4 linked regions of the Oryzias latipes genome follow. The protein of the gene in region 1 purifies or fractionates together with the protein of each later gene. This does not show direct contact. Links are inferred from orthologs where the notes say so. Each region holds a gene or a part of one and is shown in the gene's direction. Other genes may lie near its edges.

What was found. Proteins that work in one complex are often made in the same cells at the same time.
Region 2: the proteins of eed (region 1) and mtf2 purify together in Homo sapiens (affinity purification with mass spectrometry; 3 studies listed by BioGRID and IntAct, with this or other methods). This does not show direct contact. The link is inferred for Oryzias latipes from reciprocal best matches to the Homo sapiens genes EED and MTF2.
Region 3: the proteins of eed (region 1) and PHD finger protein 1 purify together in Homo sapiens (affinity purification with mass spectrometry; 8 studies listed by BioGRID and IntAct, with this or other methods). This does not show direct contact. The link is inferred for Oryzias latipes from reciprocal best matches to the Homo sapiens genes EED and PHF1.
Region 4: the proteins of eed (region 1) and phf19 purify together in Homo sapiens (affinity purification with mass spectrometry; 8 studies listed by BioGRID and IntAct, counting the BioPlex papers as one, with this or other methods). This does not show direct contact. The link is inferred for Oryzias latipes from reciprocal best matches to the Homo sapiens genes EED and PHF19.

What each region holds. Positions count from the first base shown.
Region 1 is NC_019860.2:2,257,636-2,266,348, reverse strand, and holds the start of eed (polycomb protein EED), read left to right. Parts: upstream 1-3,484; 5' UTR 3,485-3,511; coding exon 3,512-3,634; intron 3,635-4,351; coding exon 4,352-4,504; intron 4,505-4,592; coding exon of another isoform or gene 4,593-4,598; coding exon 4,599-4,691; intron 4,692-5,165; coding exon 5,166-5,231; intron 5,232-6,349; coding exon 6,350-6,475; intron 6,476-6,547; coding exon 6,548-6,629; intron 6,630-6,733; coding exon 6,734-6,825; intron 6,826-8,313; coding exon 8,314-8,447; intron 8,448-8,511; coding exon 8,512-8,617; intron 8,618-8,698; coding exon 8,699-8,713. Other genes in the region: periodic tryptophan protein 2 homolog, read left to right, coding at 1-19, 100-250, 1,727-1,801, 1,884-2,037. UniProt on the Homo sapiens protein: Polycomb group (PcG) protein. Component of the PRC2/EED-EZH2 complex, which methylates 'Lys-9' and 'Lys-27' of histone H3, leading to transcriptional repression of the affected target gene.
Region 2 is NC_019875.2:5,989,979-5,996,965, forward strand, and holds the end of mtf2 (metal-response element-binding transcription factor 2), read left to right. Parts: intron 1-415; coding exon 416-484; intron 485-1,688; coding exon 1,689-1,812; intron 1,813-1,973; coding exon 1,974-2,041; intron 2,042-3,039; coding exon 3,040-3,210; intron 3,211-3,378; coding exon 3,379-3,499; intron 3,500-3,587; coding exon 3,588-3,646; intron 3,647-4,481; coding exon 4,482-4,577; intron 4,578-4,665; coding exon 4,666-5,035; 3' UTR 5,036-6,180; downstream 6,181-6,987. UniProt on the Homo sapiens protein: Polycomb group (PcG) protein that specifically binds histone H3 trimethylated at 'Lys-36' (H3K36me3) and recruits the PRC2 complex, thus enhancing PRC2 H3K27me3 methylation activity.
Region 3 is NC_019874.2:28,775,980-28,784,021, forward strand, and holds part of PHD finger protein 1, read left to right. Parts: intron 1-132; coding exon 133-219; intron 220-3,292; coding exon 3,293-3,387; intron 3,388-3,627; coding exon 3,628-3,776; intron 3,777-4,442; coding exon 4,443-4,538; intron 4,539-7,890; coding exon 7,891-7,959; intron 7,960-8,042. UniProt on the Homo sapiens protein: Polycomb group (PcG) that specifically binds histone H3 trimethylated at 'Lys-36' (H3K36me3) and recruits the PRC2 complex. Involved in DNA damage response and is recruited at double-strand breaks (DSBs).
Region 4 is NC_019867.2:31,495,519-31,502,338, forward strand, and holds the end of phf19 (PHD finger protein 19), read left to right. Parts: intron 1-72; coding exon 73-186; intron 187-534; coding exon 535-626; intron 627-712; coding exon 713-861; intron 862-936; coding exon 937-1,032; intron 1,033-1,104; coding exon 1,105-1,294; intron 1,295-1,416; coding exon 1,417-1,484; intron 1,485-1,562; coding exon 1,563-1,703; intron 1,704-1,803; coding exon 1,804-1,864; intron 1,865-1,943; coding exon 1,944-2,029; intron 2,030-2,106; coding exon 2,107-2,196; intron 2,197-2,270; coding exon 2,271-2,592; 3' UTR 2,593-3,567; downstream 3,568-6,820. Other genes in the region: disabled homolog 2-interacting protein-like, read left to right, coding at 4,131-4,191, 5,635-5,753, 6,135-6,237.

The sequences.
Region 1 (8,713 bases):
ACTGTACCTCACGAACAGAGTGGGTGATTCCTCCGTTGGGTTTTACGAGAACTTTGGAAGTGGCCATCGTGTAGCTTGTCTGCTGTTGTGTCCCCGCAGTCCCGTTGGTTTGCAGATCCCTGCCGGACATCTACGTGGAAAAGCTGCTGGGATTTTTGGCCACATGTTTGGAAAAGTCCAGCCATTTGCAGTTTTACATGACCTGGGCCCAAAACCTACTCATGCTGCACGGACAGAAACTGAAGAATCGGTAGGTAACTTTGGGCCTAGTCACAGAACACTTCAGTGCGGCTAGCTAGTTAGCTCTGGTTCAGAGGTGTGCTAAGGACTGTAGAGCAGTATGGTTGTGACGCAGTATAGACGAAGGTCACATTAGCAACCTTACGATTGCTAGTTGACAAGGTCATGGTCTGTAATCCTTACGCCATCATATCTGAACGTCTGTGGGACCCACAAGCGAAACAAAGATCCTTCAATGTTCTTTTAACGGCGAAGCTTTAGCATCACATTCTTTCATCTGTTGTAACTCTTCAACGTTTTTTTTACGGTTTTATTACAAAAAGAAAAGCAGCTTTTCTCTTAGTTAGCCGATTTACGTTGATTGCGGAAATGGTTGAAGAGTGAAGGCCGTGTCACACAGCTACGACGTACGTATGTTTTGCGCATATTGTATGGATGAAAAGTCGTTATAGGTGGAAAAAGTGAGTTTTGGTCTATCCGTGAAATTTTCACAGATGTATCACGAATGAACCACATTAAAACTACAAAAGAAGTATGAATAAACCACGCTAAGAGCACATCAGTGTAGAACATGAACCGTGCATGATTAATGTGCTGTTTATATGCAACTCATTAGTGATTTGTGCATCAAGTACCTAATTTTTGTTCATACATGCGCCATAAATGCGATATAAAAGCTATACATCGGTGGTACACACGTAAAAAGTCCGTTGTAGATAGCCACGAATTTTCATATGCGTCTCACAAAAATCACGCACAATAGCCTAAGTTTTACATAAAAGTTGCATGTAAACTACGTAAAATACGCCATAACTGCGTATTTCTCAACTGGCCAAAAATTCTGAACAGCTTTAAACCAAATTCACGGACAGACCTGTCAGCAAAAACCCTCAACGGACATCTGAGCACATCGACAAATGACAAAGGCAAGAAAAAATTACGAATTCGGCATATCACGAAACACTCAAATTTTATCCTTGGAAAATTCGCAAAATGTATATAGTGGCTGTGTGTCGCGGGAGGTCTAATGCGACGTTCACACCGGACTTCAAAACACGCATTCCAGGAACCGCTTCCAATAAAAAGTCTATATAAATGCACGTTTTGGGCTTCCAAATTCAAAACTGTTGCGTTCATGCGTCTGTTTTTGGGCTCTACAGGACTCAGATTTGGTAGTGACTAATGTGTAGTACCAACAGTTACCCACAGGTCAGCGCGTTCTTCACACATGGCTGGTGTGTGTACATAGCTTGAATTGCGTGTTAAGTATGTGTCGCCGGCGACAACTCCAGCGTCAACGGGTTATGGTCAAGAACACGGGTTCTACACCACTGATGCTACAGGACAACAAAGTTGCTTGATTTAAAAAAATAAAAAACGAATTGATTAAAACCTTTGATCTGAATCATTTAAACTTAACCGATGTAGAAATATAACTCGGTAGAAAAGTTCAATTATCAAGATACATTTTCTGTTTGGTTTGCAGGTCGGGCTCCATTCTGGCCACGCTGCAGTCACTGCAGAAGAGCATTCAGAGGCACTTTGACAATCTGTCCAAACTGTAAGTCTCTCTTCAGCTTCACAGCCTCATTCAAAACTATGATGGCCCCCCTTTTTTTTTTAAGTGTCGATTCTCCTTCCAGGTGCGACTTCAACATGTACAGCATCCGCTACGCTGCTGCCTTGTCCAAACAGAGAGGGATGAAGAGGCCAGCGGCACAGGAGGACGAGGAAGATGAAGGACCGTCAGAGGAGATGAGCCAAGCCTCTTTGGATGACGATGACATGAGGCTTTAGCCGCTTGAAAGTCTCTTAGAAGCAACATTTTATAATAATAGAATCTTGTTTTGTACCTCTTTTAAAAATAAATGTATATATGTGGTGTTAAAAAGTTTGGTTTTGCTTCTCCGATCATTTTTTAAACTATTTTAACATGTTCTTAATGGTTTTTTTAGTGAAAAGTCTGCTGTTTTTAGCTAGTCGTTTTCTAGGACATAGTTTCTGGGAGAGCGGCTAGCTCACTGCCTTTTAAAATCTCCATGTTAGTGCCATTATGCGGCACGTTAACCAATCAGGGACCCAGCTTTGGGTACGTGATGTTTTCAGTGACTCTATCAGTGGATGGAAAAAAATATCTGGTTTGACTGGAGCAATCAAGCCAGCTACGCTACCGGACAGAGTAGTGACCTCCGATGCCCAGGGTCCAGCAGAGCTAGTGGAGCTCTCTATGTCACAGGACATTATTTAGGCCCTTCTGCAAATCTATTTATGCAGTTTATTATTCTGTGCTACAGGCATTGGACTGTGACTACACGATCCGACCTATCCGTTGCATTGAAGTTTTCGCATTTCCTCTGTTTAGGGGATTTTAGCCACCTCATACCTTTGACAAAGCTGTGACATCGACTCAAAGTCATTAGACTTGGCTCACAAATGACTGGTAAGTCCACTGTGCTTTGTTCCGAATTGAAATTTAAGGCTGTGTACAAATTCCTTCGCTATTCACGACTTAGTGCACTACATAGTGCGTTCGCTGCCGTTTGTACTGTCCGGATGTACAATTCCCAAATCGAGTGCCCTAGAAATCTGCCAGAAGTCTGCGAAAAACCAGTGTAGATCAATATTCACTAGATTGGCAAATATAAACATTGCATTTAATTTTTTTTGCGAAAAACAGTTTAAATGTATGTTTTTAATAAACCAACATTTTCATCATTGAACATGTGCGAAGGCTATGCGCAATTGCATGCTTTGCTGTCTTTATATTTTCTGTCACTACTACAAACTTTGTCAAATGGCAGTTTTTCGTGAGCTCCCGATTCACTATTTGAATAAAGAAATACTCAAATGCTATTTTAAACTATATTTAATTTCCTTTTTGACTACTACATTATCAGAAAAATCCTACAAAAACATGTTGAGAACAACATTTTTATCAGAGTGGGTCTTTCAAGGAAAAGAAGTGATAAGTGCGTAAATAAATTTCTGTCAAATGCTCAATATTGTGTTTTTTTTCTTTCCAAAATTTATAAGTTTTTGTCATCAAAATGCCAGCCAACTTTTATTTAGCTCATTCACGTCGTGTAAATTACGTCATTTTAAAAAACATTTTTTTGAACACAAATGTAACCATAACATTGATAAATCACAGGAAAAATTACATTTCTTTTTCTTTGTTTCCCGCTTATTGACGGGAAGGTCCATTAAAAACCCCCATTCCCAGCAGCCCTTGCGGCAGCGCACCGGAAGAGGCGGGACCCTGTGCCGAAAAATGAGGGAAAATAAGAGCATGTCCGAGTCCCCGTCGCAAGCGGCGAAAGAAACACCGGCGGCGAAAAAGCAAAAACTAAGCAGTGACGAAAACAGCAACCCCGACTTATCGGGAGACGAGAATGTGAGCAGCCGGTACCGGACTGTGTGTGTGTGGTTTTTTTTTAAAAACGACGAATGTTTAATCGCGCCGTTCACGTTAGCTTCCTGCTAAATTAGCAGCTAAAGCTAGCATCTTTGTCCGTTTTGGTTAAACACCTGTAGATGTGAAACTCCGTTGATTACAAAAAGCAGCTTCATGGTCACAAAAACAACAAACAAAACTAAAAGGTTACGTACATTTCAGCTTTGGACACGAACATGCTTTACTTTGAAATTAATTTTGTAGCTAGCTTGCCTTAGCACGAGCATCCTAGTGTTTTTCGGCCATTTTATAAAAAAAAAAGATTTCTTCAAGTAAACCTAAGTGATTTCGTCTTCAAATAAGGCTCACACAAACCGTTGTCCTAATTTTTTAGTTAGATTTGAAGTCCTCAACGTAACTAAAAGGCTAAAGCGAAAATTATTTTATATTGCTTGTATTTTTGTTGCATATTGTGTCCTATTTACATGTATTTAGAACTTTAAATCAATACAATTACCTGTAAATTTGAGAAGAGCAACGGAAATTTTGAAACAAACTGTGAAAGATGGAAAATTTTCAATTTCGTTTTGCAGCTTTTATTTTGAAAATTTTCAAATATTGTGCTTTTATTATGAAAAGTGAAATGCATGATGGAATGGATTTGTTTGAGGACTTGTATGTTTCTGAACAAAAAAAACCCTGACATTGCGTGTACAGGACGATGCCGTTAGCGTGGAAAGCGGGACGAACGCGGAGCGCCCGGACACGCCCACCAACACAACCAACGCCCCGGGCAAGAAGAGCTGGGGCAAGGGCAAGTGGAAGTCAAAGAAGTGTCGGTACTCCTTTAAATGTGTCAACAGTCTGAAGGTGAGTCCACCCCCTGCTGGCCAATCCGACGTTTGCAACGCTTTAAAAAACGAACTGACAATAAAATGGCGATTTTCCTCTGACCGAGGTTCAGGAGGATCACGGACAGCCGCTGTTTGGCGTCCAGTTCAACTGGCACAGCAAGGAAGGAGACCCACTTGTGTTTGCCACCGTTGGGAGTAACAGGGTAATTTCTCCCTCATGTTGATCCAATGTTTGTTTTAATCACGCAAATCTGTGCTAGCATTTTGAATCCAAAGATCGTAAAATTGACCGTATATTAGAACTGAACCGAGTCCATGTCCGAACAATTAACAAAAAATTATATAGTGCAGGACTGTCCAGTGCCTTGGATTTTAACGAAATCCGAACACTTGCTAGCTACTTATTAAAAAAAATTATTAAGTACGACGTCACCTATTTCCTCAAGTAAAAAACAAATAAGGATGAACGTTTTACGATTGTTCTGAAGACGAAATCATCGTCCAATGAAAAAATGTACTTTCTCAAATCCAGTTTGTGCAATTTCATAGTAAATGGAAAGGCAGCTAGTGATGTCTTATATAATATAGCAAATAATCATTACAGTTTTGTTTGAATGTTATGCCAAAGCTTGATCAGTTTTTCGGGACCCTAAAGTTGTTTGTTTGTTTTTGTGCAGGTGACTCTGTACGAGTGTCACTCTCAGGGAGAGATCCGACTCCTACAGTCCTACGTTGATGCGGACGTATCCTTCCACCTTCTGCGGTACAAACTAGTCCTTGGTGGGCTCCGGAGCTGGTCGGGGTGCGTGTTGCTGTTTTTATATGAAGCATTGTCGTTTACGACACACTTTGAAGCTTTGCGGGACTATTTTATGTCAAATGTGGCAAACAAGCATGGAGGAAGATGATCACATGCAGCATCAATGTCAGCAAGATGACCAGCCAATTCAATTACGGAAGCTCGTACCTTAAAATTGAATATTTATCTGTAGAAAAGCAACTTTTGTCACTTTCTTTTGGGACCAGCAGATGCGCTTGATGTTCTTGTTTTTTAACGCGACAGTGCCCCCTGGTGTCTGGTTCATCCTAAATATGAATTCTTGCTGTGTTTACTGATCTAGAGCCTATTTTCTGTAGTCGGTCAATGCTTTAGTTCCACTTTGGGGAACTAGGATTGTTGGGCATTATGGGTAGTGTAGTCAGGAGCCTGACGGAGTGATACGTGCACATTAAATAGACAAAGTGCACATGGATAACCACACAATTGACTAGAAAAACATCCCATCAACACCTTTGACCAATCGCCTTCTTCCTGCCCTTTCTACGCATTCTGGGTTGTGTAGTTGTGTCGTTTTTTATTCCTGACAAATGTCTTTCGTTACCTACACAAGAACCACAACTAAAATTAGAGAACATTAATGAGTTAAAGTCGTCCATTGTGATGTCATAGCACTCATGGACCACAGGGCATGGAAGCGTCCTCCACTGACATAAAACTACAAGAAAGGTTGTGGCGGTCTTACTGTTACCGAAGTTAGCCACTGTTACGTGTTAGTAAAGTATTAATAACAGATAATTACATGAATTAACCGGATGAAATACCATGGGCATGTTTTTAAATAAAACTAATACATAATTAATAACTAATTTATAATATTTCCATGTTAAAGTTTCATAAAACTATTGAGTTAATTAACTAAATTGCTGAGTCATTTTTTATCTGTTGTCGGGGTGTATCGCCCTAATCGGACCACACAGACTCTGCAATCCCATCCTAAACTGTAAGCACCTCCCAGCTCCAGAAACTTTCATTGGAATTGCAACGTTGCTATCGGTTTTCCTTGACTAACGCGCTCCCGAGGCGGACGAGAACTTCTACACGTGCGCTTGGACCTACGACACCAACACCAGCCACCCCCTCTTGGCCGTCGCCGGCTCCCGAGGCATCATCAGAGTGATCAACCACATCACAATGCAGTGCATCAAGGTAAACCCGCCCGTTACGACCGCTTAACAGGTGTTTTGGATGGAGGATTTCAGAGGTTCTGTTGGTTGACAGCATTACGTGGGCCACGGGAACGCCATCAACGAGCTCAAGTTTCACCCGAGGGACCCCAACCTCCTTCTGTCTGTCAGTAAAGGTAAGACGGTTCGTCAGGAGTTTATTGAACCAAACCCCTTCTGAGTCTTTGATGAAGGATCCTTGGGGTCCTTGATGCCAACGGGCGGGTCTCTATCTCTGCAGATCACGCTCTCCGGCTGTGGAACATCCAGACCGACACGTTGGTGGCGATCTTTGGAGGCGTGGAGGGGCATCGAGATGAAGTCCTGAGCGCCGTAAGCTTTGCTGTTTTAAAAACTCCCAGAAGAAAGCAGCAAAGGGAAAATAAAAACTGTTCTGGGATATTTATGTTATAGTTTTGTCAAACATAATCTGTTTAGAAATAAATGCAATTTTTGCTCTGTCTCCTATTAGCACTAGCAAGCCCCGCCCTTTGTGTGACTGTTTGTTACAGCGCTACCTCATGCAGCAGTACCCCATGTAAAGGAGCGTTAAAAACTGTAAAAATGAAACCAGAGCAATCGCAGCAAAATACAAATCCTAAAAAGTAAAAGGCAGAGCTTAGATCCCTGTGGTACACCATGATGTATACATTCCAAATGGCATTAAGCACTACTTATAGGACTAAACATGGTGAATTAGCTCATGACTAATCTGAGTTGTGATTAGCGCTTTTTTATATGTTGTTTATGGATTTAAACATATTTAGCTGAGTATCATCTGCAAAAAAACAAATGACATTTTTTTTCTGTGCTTCCCATTTGTGCTAGCAAGCCTCGCCTGCGCCTGTTTTGACTGTTGGTTACGGCACCACCTCGTGCAGTAAATGACCGTTAAAAACTAAAAATAAAATGAACGAGAGCAATCGATAATATACATATCCTAAAAAGTAAAAGGGCAGAGCTTAGATCCCTGTGGTACACCACGATAGACAAAGTCCAACTTGCATTAACCATTAAAAACATATGGAAGTAAGCATGGAGAGTTAGCTTATGAGTCTCTGAGACTTGCTTGTTATTAGCTGGTGGTTGTAACTCATCTTTTGGCGGCTCCTCTTAGTGGTCGCCACAGCGAATCACCTCTTTGCACAGGTAGTTTTGGCAGAGATTTCCAGACGGGCTTCCAGACACGACCCTGGATTTTATCCAGGCTGTGGACCGGCACAGGGAGACTCCTCATTGTTACATAAATTAGAAACTAGCATAAAGGGTCATTCCTAAGGACCCGCAATTGATAAAACTGTATTCATATTTATTTCTAGGTTCTAACATCATGTTAGTTTCGCATCATCTGCATAGAAATGAACAGACTTGCTGTTCCACCACCTATTGGCACTAGAAAACCTCTCACCCTGTGACTGAGCATTAAAAACTGTGAAAATCAAAGCAAAGAGAGCGAACAAATCATATAAGCAGGGGTCAGCGCATAGAGCCCTGTGGAACACCTATTTTACGTCTTAAAAAAATGAATGAAAACTTACGGGAGTTAGCATGACATTAGCTTCTACTGAGTTCTCCCTCGCAGTCTTAAAATGGTCCATAGAACTTTTCCAAGACTTAGACGTGTCACCGGGTTTAACGTGATAAGAGCTCACAGTCCAAAGCGTGGGAAAGTAGCTTCTCGCCAAAAAAAGGCAATTATCTGAGATTAGTAGACCTTTGTGTCTGGATCCGGATTATGATTTTAGAACTTTCAGAACCGTTAATCGGATTAAAAGGAGATCAGTCTGCTTTGGAAGTGAAAAAGTGCCCCCTTTTCTGCAGGATTTTGACCTTCTGGGTGAGAAGATCATGTCCTGCGGGATGGACCACTCGCTAAAGCTCTGGAGAATCAACTCGGAGAGGCTCCAGAAGGCCATCCGGGGTTCCTACGAGTACAACCCTTCAAAGACCAACAGGTGACGCTCCTCTTCATCGTCGCCGAGATGCTTTGGTCCCAGCTAAAACAAATCCCGCCCACAGGCCTTTTGTCTCCCAGAAGATCCACTTCCCGGATTTCTCCACCCGCGACATCCACAGGAACTACGTGGACTGTGTCCGGTGGTTGGGAGACCTCATTCTGTCCAAGGTTACGGTCCAAACTGCTGGTTCTGTTCACCTAATATTGTCCAAAAAATAGTTTGAAAATACCTTTTTTTTTTTCTTGCAGTCCTGCGAAAACGCT
Region 2 (6,987 bases), on another chromosome or scaffold:
GCAAATGTTAATTTTGTCTTTTTAACCCTTGTGCTATCTTGTGGGGTCCAAATGACCCCACCCTTACATTGACATGTTCTCGCTACCATGACAAAGGTGGATAAAGGTGGAAAGATTTCATGTAATCCATGGACACCAGTGAAGATCACAAATCATTGAAGAAAAAAGGTTCAGCCTGGTGGGGTCCAGATGACCCAACTCCCAATGTTAAAGTCCCTCGGAGGTCATCTGGACCCCACAAGACAGCACAAGGGGTTTTAATGAAGCATGTACTAGTTAACCAAAGCAGTCTGTTGACATGCCACATAAAAACATTTGAACTGTTTTTTTTTAATAAAGAAAACTTGACTTTTTTTAGAAAACATTTTCATGCCAACTACCGTAATGCTGTTTGTTTGGTTCTTTTTCCCTCCAGGTTTTATTTGTTCATCTGTTCAGTCTGCAACGGTGGACCAGAGTTTGTGAGCCGGCTGCCGCTCAGCTGGTGAGTTTGTCCGGAAGCCGTCACGCGTCCTCATTGAGGGAGGGGGTGTTCGTCCTCAAACTCTGCAGTAACAAATCTGTCTGCATGTTTTTAGTTGCTGGGATTAAAAACACTGATTTCCTTTTGGGAGCACTTAACTCCGCCCACCTCCACGACCTTATTGACCCCTTTTCTTGGTTTCAGATTTACTTGGAAAGTGCGGCATTGATTCGTCACATCCATCCATCGGTTGTCTTTTGAACAACGGATTCTAATATTTTCAGAATAAAATTGCCTATTCTGTTTAAAATGTGGGATTTTCATAAAGTTCCATCATTATTCGGTTAAACCTGGCAGTTAGAAGAGCATTGAAATCAAATCACCATCTCAGTCTTTTGCCCAGTAATCAGTTATCCCGCCTAAAATGAATGCCAGCATACAGCGACGCAAACTCTGATTCTGCAAACCCCGTCCTGTCTTGCAGATCTTTTGTAGGCTGTTGCTAGGCAACATGAATTGGAACTCCCTCCACGGTTCCTCTTTTGGACTGAAGTCCAGAGACTGGCTAGAACTCTCCAGAACCTTGAGATGCTTTCTATGTAGCCGCTCCTTCACTGCCCGGGCCGTGTGTTTGGGGTTATTTCCTGCTGGAAGACCCAGACAGGCTTCATCCTCCATGACCTCATTCAGTCTTTCCTTAACCCGGGTCAGTCATCTGGCCCACTTAGCATGAAACAAAAGAGCATGGTACCCTAAAGTCTTTCCCTGGTGTTCTCTGACAGCTCTTTGGTCTTGGTCATGGTGGAGGGTTACACTCTGACTGGTTTAGGCTGTGGACAGGCGTCTGATTCTGATAAGGAGTTTGAACAGGTGACATTGATGCAGGTAAACAGTGGAGGATAGAAGAGCTTCTCACAGAAGAAGAAACAGAATTAAGATAAATACTTCTGTTCTGCTTTATTATACAAATAAGTTCATTAAAAATCAATCAGTTTTATTTCTTTTTTTACATTTTAAGAGTGGGAGCGTTTCTGTGATTGACATTTCAGACCAAACTCATCCTTTGAGGGAAAACCTGCAGAGTCTGTGACTGTTGTGATTTGATTTTTTTCTGTTTCTGTGGTAAACTCTGATAATCAGCCATATTAAGGCAGTTTCCCTGAGTTTCTTCAATAATGTAGTTGTAATTTAATTTGTAATAGAAGTTTCTATGGAAATGTTTCAGGAAGGATGTGGCTCACCTGAGTTTGTACAACATGAGTGTGATTCACAAGAAGAAGTACTTTGACTCTGAAAATCACTTGTTGGAGTACATCAACGACAACTGGGAGCTGCTGCAGCCGGGAGAGGTGAGGCTTTATTCTGCACGGAGCTTTTCATAGCAGAAAGATGCTAAAGTAGGATTGGCTGCATGTTAGAGAGCAGATTTTACACATATATGAAAGAACTGCTGCTTATAAGCCAGATGGTTAACCCGGATGTTTGCTAAAATCCTGTTTTTGTCTCACAGCTCGCCGATACGCCGATCGCCGAACGCTGTGAGAATGTTCTGAAGGCTTTAAACAGCAACAGCTGCATGTAAGTCCTTCAGTTCCGGTGGGGTCGTGGTGGGTTCCTGGTTGGGTCTTGGTCCTGGTTGGGTCCCGGTTGGGTCCGGGTCCTGGTTGGGTACGGTGGGGTCCTTGTGGGGTCCTGGTTGAGTCCTAGTTGGTCCAGGTCCCCGTTGGGTCCGGGTCCGGGTTGGGTCCGGGTCCCGGTGGGGTCCTTGTGGGGTCCTGTTTGTGTCCGGGTCCCGGTGGGGACCTTGTGGGCTCCGGGTTGGGTCCGGGTCCTTGTGGGGTCCTGGTTGGGTCCGGGTTGGGTCCGGGTCCTTGTGGGGTCCTGGTTGGGTCCGGGTCCCGGTGGGGGTCCTTGTGGGGTCCTGGTTGGGTCCGGGTCCCGGTTGGGTCGGTGGTCCTGGTGGGGTCCTAGTTGAGTCCCAGTTGGGTCTGGGTCCCGGTGGGGTCCTGGTCCCGTGTGTGAGCCTGTTTGTGTGTTTTTCTCAGCACTGAACCAGAACACAAAATGAGCTCCACAAGTGAAGATTAGATGTTCCTTGGAGGAAAATCCGTCCCTCTTTGTCCCATCAGTGCTCATGTTGGTGCATAAATGGATGCAGGTTGTTTCCGTCAGAAGGATCCCGTTTAGAGTCACCATTTAACCTATGAAGCATTTTTTTGGACTTTGGGAGAAAACCCAACCCATGCTCGAGGAGAACATGCAGACCTCACAGAAAGGACCCAGCTGGGATTTGAACCAGGAGTTCACTGTGAGGTGGGAGTGTTGACCACTACACCACTGTGCAGGCCATTGAGCTGATTCCTGTTGAACAGTTCTGGCTCACAATCCTGGGTTTGCTGTTTATTATCTGTTCTTTTGAACTTTGCAGTATCTCAGCCGTGGGATCAATGACAGATCGATCGATTGATTGATTGATTGCACTTCACAGACCTCGGTTGAGCAGACGGGGTAGGGGGCTGGCTGTGTTTAGGCGCTCCCCCTTTTACGCCTTACTTTGTCTCACATTTCTGATCTAGATTCAAGTCTGGAAAAGAAGTGAAAAAGAAGAAGCACTTGTTCAGCCTGCGGGTGTGTTTCCCGCCCTCCCCCCCCCACAGCAACGAGCCAGCGAACGGACTGATGGACAAGACTTCACATGAGATCGCCGTGAAGGGCTGCAAGCCCACCACCACCCTGTCAGGAATGGGGTAAGATGCGGCGCCCCTCTGAGGCTCTGCAGGGAACTGCAGGCAGCCGGGAGCGCCTGCTTTGGTGCAGTCAGATGGAAGGCAGGACGGATTCGTCCCTCATCGACCTGTTGATGAGAATCATTTAGAGCAGAATAGTGCTTAAACTCTGTACTGCTGTCACTTCAGAAGTCTCGGTACTTTAACCAACGGCACCAAAACGAAGAAGACGAAGAAGAAGAGGAAGAGGAAGCAGGGAGCGTCCTTCCTGGAGACTCCATCCCAACGCTTCAGTGAGCGCCTGAGCCAGGTGTATAAGCATGCCGCTGGATTGATTGGTGCCGAGACGAGTTGACTGGTTCACCTGCCTGTTTAACCCTTTCACTGCACTTTGACAGGAAACCAGAGGCCCCCTCCCCCTGGAGCCCCACCCTTTGCAGCAGTTCCCCTCCGTCAGGTAAGGATCTGCACGAAGGCAGTCAGGACTGTGCTGAACGCTGCGTTCACCGCGGGCACGGAAACGTGCGTGTGAGCGACCAGCTCAATGAAAAGATCACGGAAACGCACATTTGAGGCATTTCCAAACTCTCGTTCACGCATCGCCACGCTGGTTTTCACGACAAAACTTTTCTAGGGAGACCCGAAAGTCATCATGGCAAGACGAAAATACAGTTAAAACATGCATAGAAATAAAAAATGAACAATATAACAACGCTGCGACTGACTGGAGACCTGTCCAGGGTGTCCCCTGCCTTCATCCGTAAGTGGCCGGGATAGGCTCCAGCAGCCCCGTGACCCCGAAAGGGACTAAATGGAAGAAGATGAATGGATGAATATAACGATGATAAACAGTTCATCTGAAACAGCTGCAGTTCCACATTTATTTGCAGGACTACAAAGAAAGTCACTGCATTGTTTCAAGAAGCTCCATTTTCTAGATGCAAACAGGTCTCAGAAATAGCAATTATTTTTTGCCTCTAGTTGCTTTGCCCCGCCCTCATATTTCCTGACCAATGACAGAAGAGATCTTTGGTCACATGGTTTTGTTCGAAAGCTTTTGTCTGGAACAGGAAAGTCTGCTTGATACGGACCAAACGCAGGGATCTGGACCAAACGAAGCGGACCGGGTCCAGACCAAACGGTCTTCCTAGTCTGAATACGTCCGTACAGAGTAGAAATGAAAACTTTGTTCCTGCTCTTGATTTGTTGGTGTGCTTTGTACTTCCAAACTACCTTATTGTAGCGTTTTACATTTTATTAAGTGTTTTTTTTAATGGTGTGTTTATCATCAGAAAAAGTCAGCTTTCATCCCAAACCTTGGAAGTGGAGTCCATTGGAGACCTCAGCGTGTCGGAAACTACCTCAACCAGCATTTCCAGGCAGTCCAGGTACGTGTGGTGCAGCGCTCTGCGTTTCCTCAGCTGTTGGCGAGCTCATCGCGCACCGCGTTGACGCACACCTGCTTCTGTCACGCAGCCTCTGCAGCTCCCTGATGCACAGACCGGCCTATGGCATGCCTGCGTCTTCTCCTCCTCTAAAACGGAAACGTGGGCGGCCACGGCGAGCTCTGCAGCCTCCCCACCCGGAGATCCCCCCTCCCGGCCCCGCAGACGCCAACCCCCCAGCCTCGGAGAGGCTCCATCTTCCCGGGCTCCACTCCTCCAACATAGTCCACGGACTGGATCCCGACAGTCAGCTGTCCCACCTCAGGAGCTCCATCAGCAGCTACTTTGGAGCAGCAGGACGGCTGGCTTGTGGGGAAAAGTACAAAGTGATCGCCCGACGGGTCACCTTCGATGGAAAGGTGCAGTATTTGGTGGAGTGGGAAGGAGTCACCGCCTCCTAGTCCGTTCATGAAGCTGGACTTGTTCACGGAACGGAAGGACGCCGCTGCTGATGGCGTTCAGACGGCGTTCGTGGTCTCGTCTTTCTGAAAAGCCCACAGATGAACGTTCCTCCTGTGAGGAACCGGAGCGCTTTCGGTGACCTGTCAGTCACATGGATGCTGGTCCGGACCAAAAGCAGTCTGCTGCCCGTTGATCCGTTTCAGAGGGGAGTTTAGGTTTTGCACTCTTCCTCTCATAAACGGATGAAGCCCCCAAACTCAGAGAAATCCTGTCCTCCCTCTCAGGTCTGTCAGCTTTTTTCCAGAGGGAACCTTGCATGACCTCAGAGTTCTGCTGCAGATGTTGTTTTAGACTCCTCTATTATGACTGACTTATGCATATCAGCCTCTTTTTTTGGTTTTGGACCCCGTTCTTTGACTGTTTCTCAGCCTTCAGACATTTCATTTCCTCCCAGACGTTTTTCTACCAACTATTTAGATTGAAATGGAATAACGTCTGACTTTAAGGAACCAAAATGTCATTTTATTTAGTCAAACCAAACCATAGTCCCGTACCCTCTGGTCACAGTTTCTTCTGCACATTTGACTCCGTGGTGGTGAGGTGTTTGCCAGCAGAAGGACTGAACAGCAGTATTTTCGGGTGATGCTGGGACAGGTGACGGACCGTCGGACCGCTCAGGTGTGCTCCTGTTCTCACAGGAAGTCGCATTGATCCAATCGCTCAGGATAAGTCCCGGTGAGACTGCAGGCTTTGCAGAATGTTTTGGAAACGTAGTTTCGGGGCGGAGTTTAGCATCCTTTTGTAAGTTTTGTATAACCTTAGCGTTTATAAGCTTTATGATTTGTCTTTTAAAGTAAGCTGACGTGTCAGAAAACCACTGGAAAGGTTCTGCTGGTGGTCACTTCTAAACTCATTGAGTTATTTTTTTAAAGGGATGTTTTGTTGATGAGCAGACGCTCTGGTTCTGACCCGTCAGTGCGCTGGTTCTGTTCCCGCTCGTCCTGCTTCTATCAGGCTTTTGGAGCCAAAGAACACGAGACGTCTTTGCGGTTTTCTCCGTACATTTTTATGCCTTTTTTTTTTGGAAGAAGACGTCACGTGTGAAGCTGTTTTGTTGAAGGTGAATAAAAGTGGATATTTTTAACTTTTTGTGTTTTGGTTTGATTCCTTCATAAAGCAAACAGCAGACAAACCTTTCACTTCAGAATCAGAGCTGCTGTTATTTTCAGGTAGTATTTAATTCAGCTTTTAATCAGATCTCATGTGGGATCTAGAATTTTTACTCTTATATCTTCTATAATATTTTATCATATATTAACCTGTTTAATGCTTCTTAGTCAAGTTGTTCTTTTTTTCTGGAAATGACTGGAGGTCCCCCAGAGGAACTGGAGGAGGTGGGAATTCTTGGGATCTTTGCATCGACTCCCCTCTCAACCCAGTCATGAATGAGCAGATAAAGATGGAGGGGGAACTCTTTTAGAAACTTCCTGAAGATACAAATGAAATTCAATCTTAATAGCTTTCCTTCTTATTAGGTAAACTTTTTTTTCTGTTTTTTTTCTCCACTGTTTCTTTAATATAAACTTTAAATGTATGTTGCAGGTATAATGTGTCTCCAGCTCACATTTCCCCCAGATTAACTGGTAACACTAATTTATTTATGTCTGTTCTGGTTTTTCTTTCTCAGTCTTTTAGGTGAAACTAATTTAAAAAAAATCAGAGCGCTTTGCTACCTAGCTGACTGCATTTGGGATGAAGTGCATAACTGATGCTACCACAGTTAATAGTGGCCAGGTGGTGGCGCCACTCATTAGATGTAACGATTTCCATAAAGGTTTTCCGAACCGCTCTTAGTCTGGCTGGTCTCCTTAGGACCTGTTTGCAATGGGAGACCCTAACAGGAGGGGTCACCCAATACAACACAGCTTCTAGGATCACTCAGCCCTCAAAC
Region 3 (8,042 bases), on another chromosome or scaffold:
TTGTTGTTTTGTTTCTTCTATCAGAAAATGAATTTAAGAGTCTTTGGCGTTCGCACAGAGATCAGAGGAGCTTCTATAGCAAAAGTCTTGGACAGCTGTTAGCTGACGTCTCTCTTTCTCTGTTTGCTTCAGTCGCTGCCGGAGGGGAAGAAGTTTGCTGCGTTTGTGATGCCCCGCCTCTCAAAGAACCGCTCATAAATTGTCTTAAATGCCGCCACGGTAAGGAAAAGTTCCTCCTCAACTCTCATGGGTTCTCGCAGTGACCTTGAGGGTTAGTCACAGAGGGTGATGCAGAAAAGCTTTAACATTCTGAATCCGATCAGTTAAAAATGTTCAAGAATCAATGACAGATCTTTGGTTCTTTCCATTTCTATCAGACTCTAGATTTGAAGGGTCAAAACGAAATATCGGAGCAACTGGAGAACATGAAGATTAAGAACTAATTATTTCCAAATAAATTAAGTTGACAACAATTTTCTGTAAAAAAAAAAGGGTAGACATTATTTAAGAAACTATTAGACTGATCTGATCTGGATCTGTCAATCATCTCTTTCTAAGCATCTTGAGGCGGGACTTCTAAAGAGGTAACTGTTTTCTGCAAATGAAGCATAAAAAAGCAGAAAGCTGTTTCTCTTTGGAAGCATAAAATCTACTTTTAAATAAAAACAATAAAGTAAACAAAAAAACTTGCCTCTAAAACATGACAGTTTCATAGTCTGTGTTATGCTTAGCAGAGTTTTTAATTGCTGGTGCACACACACTATTGGTACAAACCTGAACAATCTTATTCAATTATCATGAAATTCACAACTTTTTCAAATAAAACTCAACATTTGGCTTTTTTTATGTGAACTTTGCATTGAAAACTGTAGCTTTTAACTTAAGTGACCAGCTCAACGGTCTGCTGGGAGTGTGTCCACCCTGAGATCGGGTACCGTGGGTTCGAATCATCGGTCAAGTAGAATCAAAAAATCCAAAATTTTAGAAAATGTGCCTTCCTGCTCAGAAAACGGACAGCAGCATAAAGTGTTGAACCAGGAGTTAAACCACTTTAAGGCTCTGAAGCTCACTTTCTGCTGTGAAGCTGATAGTCTTTTAGTGCATTTTTAGATTTATGACAACTATTGTCACATGATTTCTTTAAAAATTGTTTTGCCAAAATATGAATTTTTCTTTTACAAAATCAATATTACGATGAAATAAAGTCTCTTAATGTTCTAATGTTGCCTTTAATAAAAAGCTACAGTATGAATTAGGTATTTTAGGCAACAGTTGTTGTGTATATTCACATTCATTGTATTTTTTGTTGATTCTTGTCCAGGTACACAGGTTTTAAATATCAATGGGAATCCCCTTGTTAAATAAAAGTTATGGAATTTTTTTTATATATGTATATATAATAATCATATATATGCATATTTTGCTTCAACGTCGTTTTCTTATCTTTGAAGTAGATAAATAACTTTCTTAAATGTTGTATATTTGTAATAAATGTGGTGTAAAAGTCAATCTTTAGGTTTTCAGTTGTGCTGAACATCACGTTTTGTCCCACCGTGACCTTATTAGGATTTGGAGCCCCTAATTCCAGGTTGTCTTGTATTGAGGTAAATAAAGCAGGCCTTTGGAGGGTCAGTAGCCCCCCAGCAGGCTCTGTTGCCTGAAATTGATGTCCCTTCTATGCTGCTTAGGAGTATTATTCTTTATTTAAGAGATGCTGTAAGTAAGTGTGTTTTTGGCTGTTGGAGGACAATAGAAATGTTCTTCATCCTAAAAGACATTTACACCAGGCAGCTGTGAGTGCATTTGATATTTCTGAGATGTGAATGTTTTGTCTGTATGTCTTATTTCATGGGAGACTATCTATGTGATGCTGCCCCCCCCCCCCCCGCAAACGTTTCCCACACTGTAAAGGAGGTGCAGCAAGTTTTACAGTAACTTACTGGCACTAATATAAATAAGTAGGGCTGCACGGTGGCACAGTGGTTAGCGCTCTTCCCTTACAGCAAGAAGGCCCCAGGTTCAAATCCCCTGAACCAGAACACCAATGGGGGGACCTTTCTGTTTGGAGTTTGCATGTTCTCCCCGTGCACACGTGGGGTTTCTCTGTGGACGCCTCCCACCATCCAAAAACTTGGTTCATTGGTTACTCTAAATTGTCCTCAGGTGTGAATGTGAGTGTGCATGGTTGTGTGACTGTGGTTCTGCGACAGACTGGCAACCTGTCTGTCAGCTGCCCTTCACTCATTAGTGGCCAGGATAGGCTCCAGCAGCCCCGTGACCCTGAAAGGGGACAAAACAGTAAAATGAATCACAGCACACAGATTTACCATGAATTTTATTTTACAGTAGTACAACTGTAAAGTAATTCCTAGCATCCAGCTGGCAGTAGTTAATATAAATGTTCCAACAGTACAGTAATTCTAATGTGCTTCTGTTTACAATAATATTACCTGGTTTTCTTTTCCATTTTCTTTTTCTTTTTTTTCTTTTCCAGTTTATTTACTGTAAAAATACAAAACAAACTATATATATATATATATATATATATATTGTGTACATTGTGTACATTGTGTATATATATACACAATATATATATGATGTGGCCCACCCACCCAGCATATATTTACATTAGAAATTAGATCTTTTTGAAACGTTTTTTTTTTTGTCTGCTCCTGATTCACAACAATTTGAATAAATTTTGGATAAAAAAAAGGAAATGTGGTTTGTGTAATCTGTCAGTAATGATTCCAGTGTGGTTGGTGTCCTTGCATCATTAATGTTCTGAAAACAAAAACTCTAAATATTTTTGTTGAAGGCGAAACCTCAGCCAGCTGCAAATGTGCTCATCAGGTTGTAGGAATTGAGTGGGAAAGTGAAATAAAAGGAGCTGTGAATGTGCTCGTCTCCGCATAGGCATTGTTCTGCACGGTGAAGGTCACACACAAGCCGAGTAAAACACATCTTTGAGTGACGGGCCATTAAACCGCTAAGATAAAACGACATTTCTGAAGTGCAGGTGGAAGGAAGTTTTAAAAACACTCAGCAGCGGGATGCGCAGGCGGGAAAATGGAAACAAATGTTTCCATCCTCTGATCACGGATCTGTCAGGTGAACACAGTCTCTGCTTTGGAGGAGAAAAGGCAAATCTTTCCGCCATTTTCCGTGTGCAAATGGTAGAGTTGTGTGTTTTCTAAAACCTGCTGTCAAAGCACAAACAGCAGATCTGTCATTATCCTCCTCCTGGTTGACTGTCTAACCGAAATGAAGGCTCTGCCTCCTCTTGACGTTACAGGTTATCATCTGGAGTGCCACACGCCAACCATCGAGCCGGAAGCTGACAGCGATTCTTGGATATGTCGGCAGTGTGTCTTTGCAGTCGCAACCAAGGTCAGGTGGCCAATCACAGGAATAACTGGCAATGTAACATGGGAGAAATCAGGGTGATAATGGTCATTCGGTCATTTTAGACAGCAATGAAGCCCATAAACTGCCCCTGCAGCTCAGAGAATCACACTTCAGTGTTGGCCATCCCTTGTGCTTCAGTTATTTTGAAGTAATTTGTTTAGTTGTCGGTCTGCTTCCATCAAAGCTGACCCACAATAAATCAGCTGTGTCCTGTGTTGGCAGAGAGGCGGGGCCCTCAAGCGTGGACGCTTCGCCCGGCTCATGCAGTTCATGAAGCTGCGGCTCCCGTACCAGCTGTCGTCTCTGGACTGGGACCCGCAGCATCTGACCAACCAGCAGCAGTGTTACTGCTATTGTGCCGGACCCGGAGAGTGAGTGACCCTGCAAATGCCTCAGCAGCCCAGCACTTTGTCTGTCTTTATCCGACCCACTCCGATTAAAATCACATTGTTTTTTTTTTTGTTTTTTTAACATGTTCTAGTTCCATATTTCTTATGATGCAGGACAAGTATAAAGAAAATTCAGCTTAAAGCTGCATTTCTGAGTATTATTTTATGCAAATAGTTGTGAATTAGGAGTAGACATTAAAATACCGTTTGAAAAAATTGCATTTGTGATGTAGAAAATACGCTGGGCGGGTCACAAGCTCCCTGCTCCGCTCCATTCTGATGCCTCCACTTGCAGACAAGTAGATCCATGTACGTCTTTGTTTTCCTTTTCCGAGCCGGCATCTGGCTCTAAACTGTACAGCTGGATGCAGCTGTAATGTTAGGTCAGGGATGTGGGGGGCTGTAAGCCAGCGGAAGAATGTAAACCGATAGCTCGGTTGGGTGACAGGAAGGGCAACTTTGAGGCAAATTTTTCTAATGAACTACTCTGCGATCTGCAGAAACAATGTCCTTGAAAACAACCGTTTTTTGATTTTGGTTAAAAACGGTATTACGGGAATGCTTCTGCAATAGATCACAAGATGATTGTTGTGGGTCTTTAATGCTTTTACTCATCGTTGTTTGACGTGCTGCTTCACATCTCTGCAGGTGGAACCTGAAAATGGTGCAGTGTGGCAGCTGTGGTCAGTGGTTCCATGAGGCGTGCACACAGTGCCTAACCAAGCCGCTGCTGTACGGGGACAGGTGAGGTCCTGAGGGTTTTCAGGCTGGTGCAGCGTTGAATATGTACATTTACATTAATCCTGAAGTTTACTTTGTGTCTTTTAAGTTTAATCTAAGTATTTACTACATTGCTGTGGGACCTTTAGAGCAGATCTTAGGCAAACTATCACATCATTTCATAAAACTCTGGTCAAAAGAAACTCAGAAGAAAACGCAGAGTTTTTAAAAATCTGTTTCAGCTGAAAAGAATTAAGACAAATACTAATATATATGTATATAGAGAGATACAGATATATAGACAGAAATGTTGCAATTTATACATGAAATGCAAAGTGTTGAAAGGAACTGAATGAAGTTTTCAGAACTTAAAAACCATCTAAAATATGTTAATTGGTTCTAAAAGTGCAAAGCCTGATGGGTAAAAATAATGAACAACTTTTCTTAAAACACTAATTCAAAGGCTGCAGCTGCTAAATTTACATCAAACGTCTTCAAATCAGGTGAAGAAAGTGTCAGAGAATTGAAAAGAAACTGAATTATTCTCAACTAAAACTACAAATGCCACAACGGATGTTAAATTGGATGCTTTAAATGCTAAAACAACTGTCAGATGATAAAAATAAAAAGCTGCCGGCTGTATTAGCTGAAACGACAGACAGAAAAAAGCGGTAAAAGCTAAAAAAAAGTTACTAATTAATTTAAATAATCTAAGCGAAACAAAAATAAATAACTCTTAAACCCTTAAAATGACTGCAAACATTGTCCAAATCTCCTTTTTAAACTATAAATTGACTAAAGACCAAGGCAATGCAAAACAAGTGCTTTAGATTTAATGCTAAATGTTATGTGAATGTCAAAAGAAGAATACTTGAAAGCATGAAAATTGGCCTTGCTGACCTGCACACTCTGTCCGGTTCCAGGTATCCCTCTAGAACTCCTAAAAATGCAAATAAAAGCGAGAAAAAAAAAGTCATCAAATTTGATGCAGAGTCAGGTAAAAAGCTCGAGAACTCAGATATATCTGATGAATTAACTGAGTTTTGGTTTGGTCTGAACACAATTGAGATTGTATTGTCGGCATGACAGCTCAGCCTGTCAGGGAGTTTTCTTAATTAGCTCAGGATGAGATAATTAGCGCGCAGGTTGATGTTCTCAGTGACTCGTGCCGCTCGTCTCCTTCCTCTGAGAAAAAGACAGGAACCGGGGAGGGTCTATTAGCTCTCTGTGGGGGGATCATGGCATGATGGCTGGATACAAGATGAGCTGCATCCCGCGCACATAATAAAACGCATCCATCCATCAAGTCATTATTGTCTTTAACTATCTGTGCTGGCTGAGCGAGTTTAACGCCCAACACCGTGTTGCTGCCCAAGCTGTGTAAAGGGGAAGAAGAAAAGGAGGGATTACATTTTAGATTGACAGTCCGAGAGAGTGAGGAAGAGTGAGGAGCCAGCTCACACTTGGAATAGTAAGCATGTGTTGCCATCTCACCGAGTGTGCTCTTCATCTTTCCCGGTGACCTTCATGCAAATAAAACGACAGACGTAAACAGTGTTGTGGTGTGAGCTGAGCTTCAGGGTCACTCTGAGCGGAATGTTAATGTGCTGAAAACCACAAAAGCCTCTGTTTACCTCCACCTCAGCTTGATTTATGGGATCAAAAATTGAGACAAAAGACCCGGGGAAATGCCCAGAATCCCCTTTTCCTTGTTGGAGTAGCAGCACATTTTAAAACATGAGGGTTCAATGAAAAGTCTGGAAAATGGAAGCATCACATTTTTAAACCACAGTCCCTTCAAAGACCTGGTTTGAGGAGGAACTTGTTTATGCTTTTAGCAGTCACCAGGTGACCACACCTCCGCTGCTTCGCCTTTAACCCAGCTGTTGTTGTGCAGGAGAAAAAACTGATGGTAAATCTGGTGTTCACATCAAAAAGTCGTCACATGAGGTTTGTAGATTACATGAGAGCACATGTAAAAATTCCTATCTTTTAGGACAGTTGAAGGTAAGCAAAAGTAATTTAAACTCTCACTCTGGACTAATATCACCAGCTGTGATTTGCTTTTGATGGGCCAAAGTTTAGACATAATTTGATCTGGGTTTACCAGAAGTTTGCCAGGTCAACTCAAAGTGAGTTAGTCATTTATTATATGTTCTCATAGAAACGGCATCCTGATTAATTAGAGACACTATTGAAACTCTATTTTTTAATTTAATTTACATTTTTTTAACTTGTCCTGCCCAACAGATGAGAGCTGAGAGCCTCTTGTGTTAGACATATTTTACTGTTACATCATGGGGTTATGAATCTTTTGACACACTAGGTTGTGTATTTGAATTAACCCCTTTTGTAATTTGGGCCAAACTTTATTCATCTTCATTATATTTGTAAAAAGTTTTGGTTGGACCGGACGAAAAAGGAAAGGAGGGAAGAAGAGAGAGGGATGTTGCCTCTTACCACACGCACAACAATGGTACATTCCATTTTTGTGACGTCCCATGAAGTTGCGGTACGAGCCTCAACCTGCGCTCCCTTTAAGATGCAGCCGCTCCTCTGCGTCCCTCCACCGATGCGGAAACCCCAAAAGCCGCAGCACAGGTCAACCCTCGCACTGGTGCATGTGACCAATGCTTCAGACTTCCAACTCTATCAAAGCAACATGTTTGTCGTGATGTACATTTCATTTCCAGTTGAGTTCCATTTGAAAATAGATTTTTAAAGTTATGTGACAGATGGACAAAAACAAGTGTAAATGGTTACTTAAAGTTATATTTAAATCGTCCGCAAAACCCATTTTTATGACCTCCTTTCATTTAAACTTAAGCTTTCAAATGGACACACCAACATGTCCCTTTTAAATGTTAAAATAGAAACTTCAGCGTTTTCAAGTCCTGACAAAAAAAAAACCCAAATTATTACCTCTCCACCACCATGCTTGACAACTGGTTGGGGGTATTTGTCATATGTTTGTTTGCTTAAACAACTAAATATGCAGATAGCCCTGTCCTGTTATTTTTAGACTGGCTTTCTGCTCTCAACCCCTCCAAACAAGATAAAGATTTTCTGTTTCAGTCCTGCCTTCACAGACTTTACTTTTTACCTGTCCAGGTGTTTTTTTTGGTGTTTCTTTAAACATTGAATGATGTAAATTATGGATAAATATGCAGGGATATCCAGTATCCCAAAACTCTAAGCACCTGTCTTGACTACTTTTGTCTTGTAAAAAACTCAGTGTTAGACTTTGTTTAGAACCTGTCTTGGTGTTGATACACGGTTCCCCAGACTACTTTTTAAAGTATATTTCCTTCCTTAAATGCTCTTTTCCAATTCTATAAAGAATGATTGAATTTTTTTTTTCCACATTTGTGCACAGGTTTTATCAGTTCCAGTGTTCAGTATGTACGAAGGGACCAGAGACGATCCAAAGACTTCCCATGACCTGGTAATGGCAGCACTTTCATGTTTACAGTAAATGAGCCGTAAACCTATTTGCTCTTTATTTACCATGTGAATCGTTTGCAATTT
Region 4 (6,820 bases), on another chromosome or scaffold:
AAGATCCTTCATGCTGACATGTGTGATGCCCTGAGTTGTTATGTCACGTGCTTCTGCCTGATCACGTTTCAGCTGGAGTGCCAGGGGAGGAGCCTCGCTGCTCTGTGTGTCGCAGGGCGGAGCCAGACTCTGACGGCCAGCCTAAGGTCAACAACCAAATCCTGATTTGTGGGAAGTGCGGCATCGGTGAGCATGGCGTTGTCTGAGTTCACACCTTCACATCTGTAGAAGGGGGCGACGTGTTCGGTGGGCGCTCTCGCCAAATCCTAAAGTTAGTGTAGGTCTCTGCGCCAGCCCACAACATCAGTGCGAGTCTGTGCAGGTGAACACACCTGAAGGAGGCGATGCTCTGGTTTACCTGCTTCACATCATTCATGCTGACATGGGAGTCAGTGGGAAATTGCTTGCTTTAATAGACCTGGTAGTCATTTGAGAAACGTCTTGTGTTGGCTTCACTTTGGGGAGTAGTATCACATGATCCCATGTTGATCCAGTTAACCTGGTCATAAAATCGCCTGTCTCTGTGTTTGCCAGGCTTCCACCAGCTGTGTCACATTCCTCCAGTAGAGGGCAGCAGCCTGAGCCCTTGGTTCTGCAGACGTTGCGTCTTTGCTCTGGCTGTTCGGGTAACGCCTCTTCCCAGTGCTGCATCAGCATGTTCCCACAATCCCCCTCTCCGTTGTCCCTGACCCGTTCCCTGTCGTCCTCGCAGAAAGGGGGCGCTCTGAAGAAGGGGCCGATAGCCAAAGCTCTGTGTGCCATGAAGCAGGTCCTGTCCTACAAGCTGGATTCCTTGGACTGGGACTCTCAGCATCGGACCAATCAGCAGCAGTGTTACTGTTACTGCGGAGGCCCTGGAGAGTAAGGCCGACCGCCCGAGAGACCGGCGTGTTGTGAGTGCCAGGTGTTGTCTGACTGACGTGTGTGCGTGTGCAGGTGGTACCTGAAGATGCTGCAGTGTTTCAGGTGTCAGCAGTGGTTCCACGAGGCCTGTACTCAGTGTCTTCAGGAGTCCATGATGTTTGGAGACAGGTGATCCTTCCTGCCCCCCCCCCCTGCTCCGTCCTCCTCTGTGTTCATGCTAAGGGTCTGCTGTCCTTCCAGGTTCTACCTCTTCCTGTGTGCGGTGTGTAACAAGGGCTGCGAGTACATCCGCCGTTTGCCCCTCAGGTGGGTGGATGTGGTTCACCTGGTTCTCTACAACCTGTCAGTCAGCAGCAAGAAGAAGTACTTTGAGCTTGATGAGATTCTGGCCTTCGTATCGACCAACTGGGACCACTTGCAGCTCGGAAAGGTAAACAGCAGAGGAACCGAAGAGACGCTGAGCTGAACCAGAATCTGATTCTGATTCTGATTCTGATGTGATCCTGCTTTGAGTTGTGGTGTTGGTTGTCAGCTCTCTTCTTATTTCTTCAGCTGTCTAACACTCCTCCTGCAGACAGGGGGCAGCACCTGCTGGATGCTCTCAATAACTACAAGAGCAAGTAAGTACCGACCCCGCCTTCCTGACAGTTCATCTGTGCGTCTGCCGATCCAGTAAGTATCTACATGCGTGTCCTCAGGTTCCTATGTGGGAAAGAAATCAAGAAGAGGAAGTGCATCTTTCGTTTGAGGACCCGAGTCCCGCCCAACCCCCCCTCCAAACTCTTACCCGAGCATGCTCTGCATGACGGGGGGCGGGGCCGGAAGACGACCTCGGTCAGGTAGATTTTTTTTTTTTAACTTTCAAGCTACCTGGAATCGTTTTTGGGATGCTTGGGGGTCGTGGAAATCCATCTTTGTGTTTTTGTGTTTTTGCTTCAGTAGTTCAGCTGAAAGGAAGAGGAGAAAATCCAAGTGGCTTCTGGAGGATGCTATCCCTAATGTAAGCCGCCTCTTTCTCTAAACCCTTAAAGGAGAGTCTTTGTGCTTGAGTGTCGCTGTTCCCCCCTGACCTTCTGCAGAACGAGTTGTCCTGCAGCTGGACCTCCAACCACCACATGGCCAACATCTTTGACTTCACTTTAGATGAACTCCAGAGCCTGAAGAGGTGAGTTGAGTAGAAGGACAGGTGATGGGTGACCCCTGAGGTGCAGATCCCGTGCGATTGCTTCCGTTCTTCTCCAGCAGCTCCAACAGAACCGTCAGCATCGACCAGGATTCTACCGACGCGTCCACCTCGGGTTCTGCCACCACCAGTGCCTCCTACCGCCTCAAGTAAGACGCTTTCCATCAAAGCTCTCAGACCTGATGGAGGAAGCCCCTGACTGACCTGCTCTCCCTGTTCTCAGGAGCAGAGTGGGCAGCAAGAAGAGAAAGTTACCTAGCAACAGCTACAGCCAGTGGGCCAATCGCAGTGAGGTGGACGAGGAGCCCGCCGAGACAGCCGAGGAGCGAGCTGCTGCTCCTGACGCTCGCCTGAACACGGAGCTGCCGCACTTTCTGTCTGACCCCGCCCACATCGCGTCAGACTCCTCCCTCCTTCATTCCTCCATCTCCTCGTACTTTGGCAGACTGAGCAGTGGGGAGAGGTACCAGGTGCTGGCTCGCCGTGTCACTCCTCAGGGGATGGTCCAGTACCTTCTGGAGTGGGAGGGAACTACACCCTTTTAGGACTTGACCCCCTCACCTCGTAGAGCCTTTGGTTCCTCCGCATCCCCGCCAGCCCTGCTCAGCTGCCTGTCAATCATCTCAGGGGTGACAGGTGTATCTGTGCCAGCAGCCTGTCTGTCTTTCTATTGATCCAACTGAAAGTCCGGCAAACCTGAACTTAGAGAAGTTTTGCTGCAGAAATATCAGGAGCTAGCACACACAAACACACACACACACCTGCATTCCCGTGTGGCTCTCAGGCTGGTGTGGATGAAGACGGCATCAAAGCTGCTCTGGAACCGTGAAAACAGTATTTAGTGGAAGCCTCCGTCATCGTTCAGCCAAAGAAGCAGTCGGAGGCCAAGCGTGCGTCTTCCTGTTGACGGTGTTAGTGTTATCGGGAACTGAAGTTCGGTCGTTTTCCGTTAGCGGCCTGTTAAACTGTTGCTTTTACTGTAGCTAGTGTTGCACCCCCCCTTACCCTAAGCTGTCAAACAGCAAACTGAGCCCCCCCCCCCCCCCCCCCGTTCTCCCTCCAGTTCTGGACCTCTCGGTTCAGTTCTGTCACGTTTGAACAGAGAGCCCATTGTTTGTCTGCGGCGTCAGGGTTCAGGGTTCGGACCGGAACCCGTCTGGGTTTGGTTCGGCGGGTTCCCGCCCAGCAAGCCAGCCGGTTCCACTGTGTGACCCCCCCCCAGCCTCCTGCACTGCACACACATCCATTATCTATGCAAACACCAGAAGCTTAGCTCCAAGCTAACGCAGCCCTTTGTTCTGAATGAGAAGTGCTAACAGTGCTAACAGTCTCTGAGACTTAAACGTTCACCGTGTCACTTTAATGCTGCAGCTCCTCCCGCTGCCATGGTAACCATGCTCTTCTCCCATTGGCCTGTTTGAATGGTTGTTGTGATCACATGACTGCATGTTTATCTCTTGTACGAGCAGCTGACCAGCCAGCGTTTTGGAATTAAAAAAAACAAAAAATCTGACCTTTGACCTCTGTGTTTGTGTTTCTGTGAGAATGAGTCAGTCTGGTGTCGGCCAGACTGAAGACCTCAGAGGATCTGGACCCACTTTTAGGGTCCAGGTCGGACCTTCAGGAGCCCGGGGGGTGCAGGTCCTGGAAAGTGCATGACAAGTATGTGTGTGTGTGTGTGAGTGTGAGTCAGTGAGAGTGCAACAGGTGATAATCTGTTAATCCCATTAAGGTGTTAAACAGCACATGAAGAAGAGTCAGTTCATGTGTGCTCCTGCCACACGGAGGGTCTGCGCAGACAGACGGGGCCTACAGAGAATGTGAGACCCCCGCAGCCGGGACGCAGTTTCCATCCGCCGTGAGTCACCAGCCGTCCGGGTTCGGGTCGGCAGAATGCGCGAGTGTGTTTCCGGCATGTCACGGATGACGGTGGCGTGATCGTCCGTCATCTGCGACATGTCAGGCGTGTGTGCTGCCCTGTTCTGTTGTCCTGCCCCCTGTCTTTTCACCGCTCCTGCTGTGCCCACAGGTGTGGCTTTGTGTCTCCACCTCAGGTGTGTCGGCATCAGGACGTCCTGTCCTCATGGAGCAGCTGGTTAAACACCTGTCCAGGTGTCAGCACCTGGGCTGGATGAATGTGATTGGTAAGGCAACTAGGGGAGGAGAGAAGAATCCTCCGATTTCTGATTCTTTTCATGCGGAGATGGCCTGTCAGAACTTGGCCCGTTGTACTCATCGTCTCACGGAGGAGTTTGGGGCTGAAGACGTGTCGCCATGGTTACAAAACGTCAGTTCCTTCAACAGTGTTTTGTCGCTCAGGCCTGGCGTCATGTTTCTATGGCAAAGCCTGTGCTTGGAAAAGAGAGGTGTTGTTTTGATGGTATCGTCTGTCCATCCATCCATCTGTTCGTCCATCCATCAATTGTACTTTGCCGGAGCCCAGCCACCGTTGAGCAAAGGCAGGGCTCATCCTGGACAGGTCAAAGATGAGCACCACCAGCTGGAGACCTTTATTCCAACACCAAAATTCAAAACGCGGATTTCCAAATCAAAGCGCTTCAAAAGAAAAGGAGATGCTGCTCCATAGTAACCATGGTAACCGTGCTCTTATCCAACGTTTCTGAGATGCTTTGGAAATGAGCTCATGTGGATGAAAGCCAAACGTTCTGTTGTCATAAAATATTGCGTGGTGGTCGGACGTTTTCCACTGGATCTCATTTTGAAAGCTTTGGATTTAGTAGAAGAACAGAGGAAGTGGCTTCAGAATTCTGAAGTTCTGTCAGAACTGTGACGGGTCACAGAACTCGGGAATCACTTTAGACCCAGAGGAACCACAGAATTTAAAGTCAATTATTGGGCTCAGCATGGAATAACAAATCACTGAAAAGCTTTCAAAATAAAAGCCTGTTAGAAGCATTCAATCCAGCTTTATTAATGTGAGCATTTTAAAACATCTGAGCCAAAGTTCTTTGCAGACGTGAACAACACGGTTAAGTTAGTTTGGTTAGTTACTTACGGTAGTTGGGTAATTATTAAGCAGGATATTTACTTATTTGTTTAGTTAGTTGTGTAGTTTAGTTAGCATGTTTAGTTAGTTTATTCAGCAAGGTTACGTGTTTGTTCAGTAAGTTTAGTTAGTTTGACATGGTTAGTTAGTTAGATTAGTAAGTAGTTGATAAGTTACAATTTGAAATTACTTGGTTACTTTGCTTACTTTTAGTTGTTTAGATATTTAGTAAGTTAGCCTAAGTTAGTGGGTTAGTTATAAAAGTTTGGATAGTTATCTATCTGGTTAGCTACCTAAATGGTTAGTCAGAAAGATAGTTTTTTGTTTAGTTAAGTAAGTTGTTTTCTGAAAAGTTTGTTTCATTAGTCAGTTGTTTTGTTTAGTAAGGTAGTTAAGTCGGTTAGTTTAGTTAGTTGTTAAGGAGGGTTAGGATCAGGGCAGAGGGTCATGGTCACCATGAAACGAACCCACAAATACTTTTGTATTCAATCTTTTCTGATGTGCTTCTTTGTTTTTATCACATTACAATGACAAAGTTTGATGTGTCGGATCACACAGCTGTGATGCTCCAATGTCACAGAGTTGAAGAGCGCCTCCATCCATTGGCTGTCCTGCGGACGGAAGGCGGAGCCTGACATTTGGACCAAGATGTTCTGCATCCTGACCAACTCCCAGCTGCTGATGCTGGACGACCTGGAGGTGTGAGCGCACACAGAGGCATCTGTGCCGCTATGCGGGGCTGCTGTGTGAGCGGATCCTTCGGGAAGATGGGTTGAATCTTTAGGATCCACTTCCAAAAAAAAGGAACTTTGGTTTACATGCAGATTCCTCACATTAGCCTTGAAAATGGGAACAGAAGTGAGAGGCTGGAATTCAGATCCTGGAGCTTCTGGGTGGCAGTAGAACTATCACCTGATCTTTTGGGGGGGGGGGGGGGGGGTTGTACATCAAACCAGAAGAAAGTCACCAAAGTGTCTCCTAAAAAAAGTGAATCAATGCCCTGTCTTTTGAAGCTGATGCCCCCATCAGAGCGGATCTCCTCCTTCAGGGTCTGAGCCCACTCTTCATCCTCTTCTTCAGGTTCATCCTTTGCTGCTTGCTGAGAGGGCGGAGACTTGCACAGTGTGGTTGCTGCGATACACCCTGCATGTGACCTCAGCCCCGCATCGTCCCGCCCACAAAGGTGAGGAAAAGTAGTTCAGACCTCCAGAGGTCGTGTAGCCCCAGAGCTGGACGGACAGGCAGACATTTAGACAGACGGGGACATTTGGACGCACCATGGATGCAGACTTTGAGGACGGTAAGAGGAGAAACTGGACTTGCTTTGTTTGCAGATGCAGCAGAGATCAGAGCCACTGCTTAATCTCGACATGTCACAAAAATAATCTCATAATCTTACAGCTGAGATTGGTCGTCGTTGCAAAACAGACGGTCTTGCAGGTCAGCGGTCGACCAAGTGTGTGTTCAGGTGCCCGGATGACCTGTCGAAGGGTCACGGGTCAGTTTTGGACTCTCAGGTGAAATCCAGGCCGTTTGCGGTCATAAAAGTGGCGTTTGCTTTGGACCAGCAGCAGACTGCAGCTTCGATTTGCAGCAAAAGATGGAGACGTGGAGAGTTCAGACCGCCTCCGTCTGCCTGCACTGTCTTTAGAAAAAAGGTTCTCCTTGAAGCAGGTTGAGCAAAACACCTAGCAGAGCTGTTTTTGGAATAAATGGATGCAATTTTGACCATCATACCTGCATGGTGGGGTAGTGGTCTACACTCT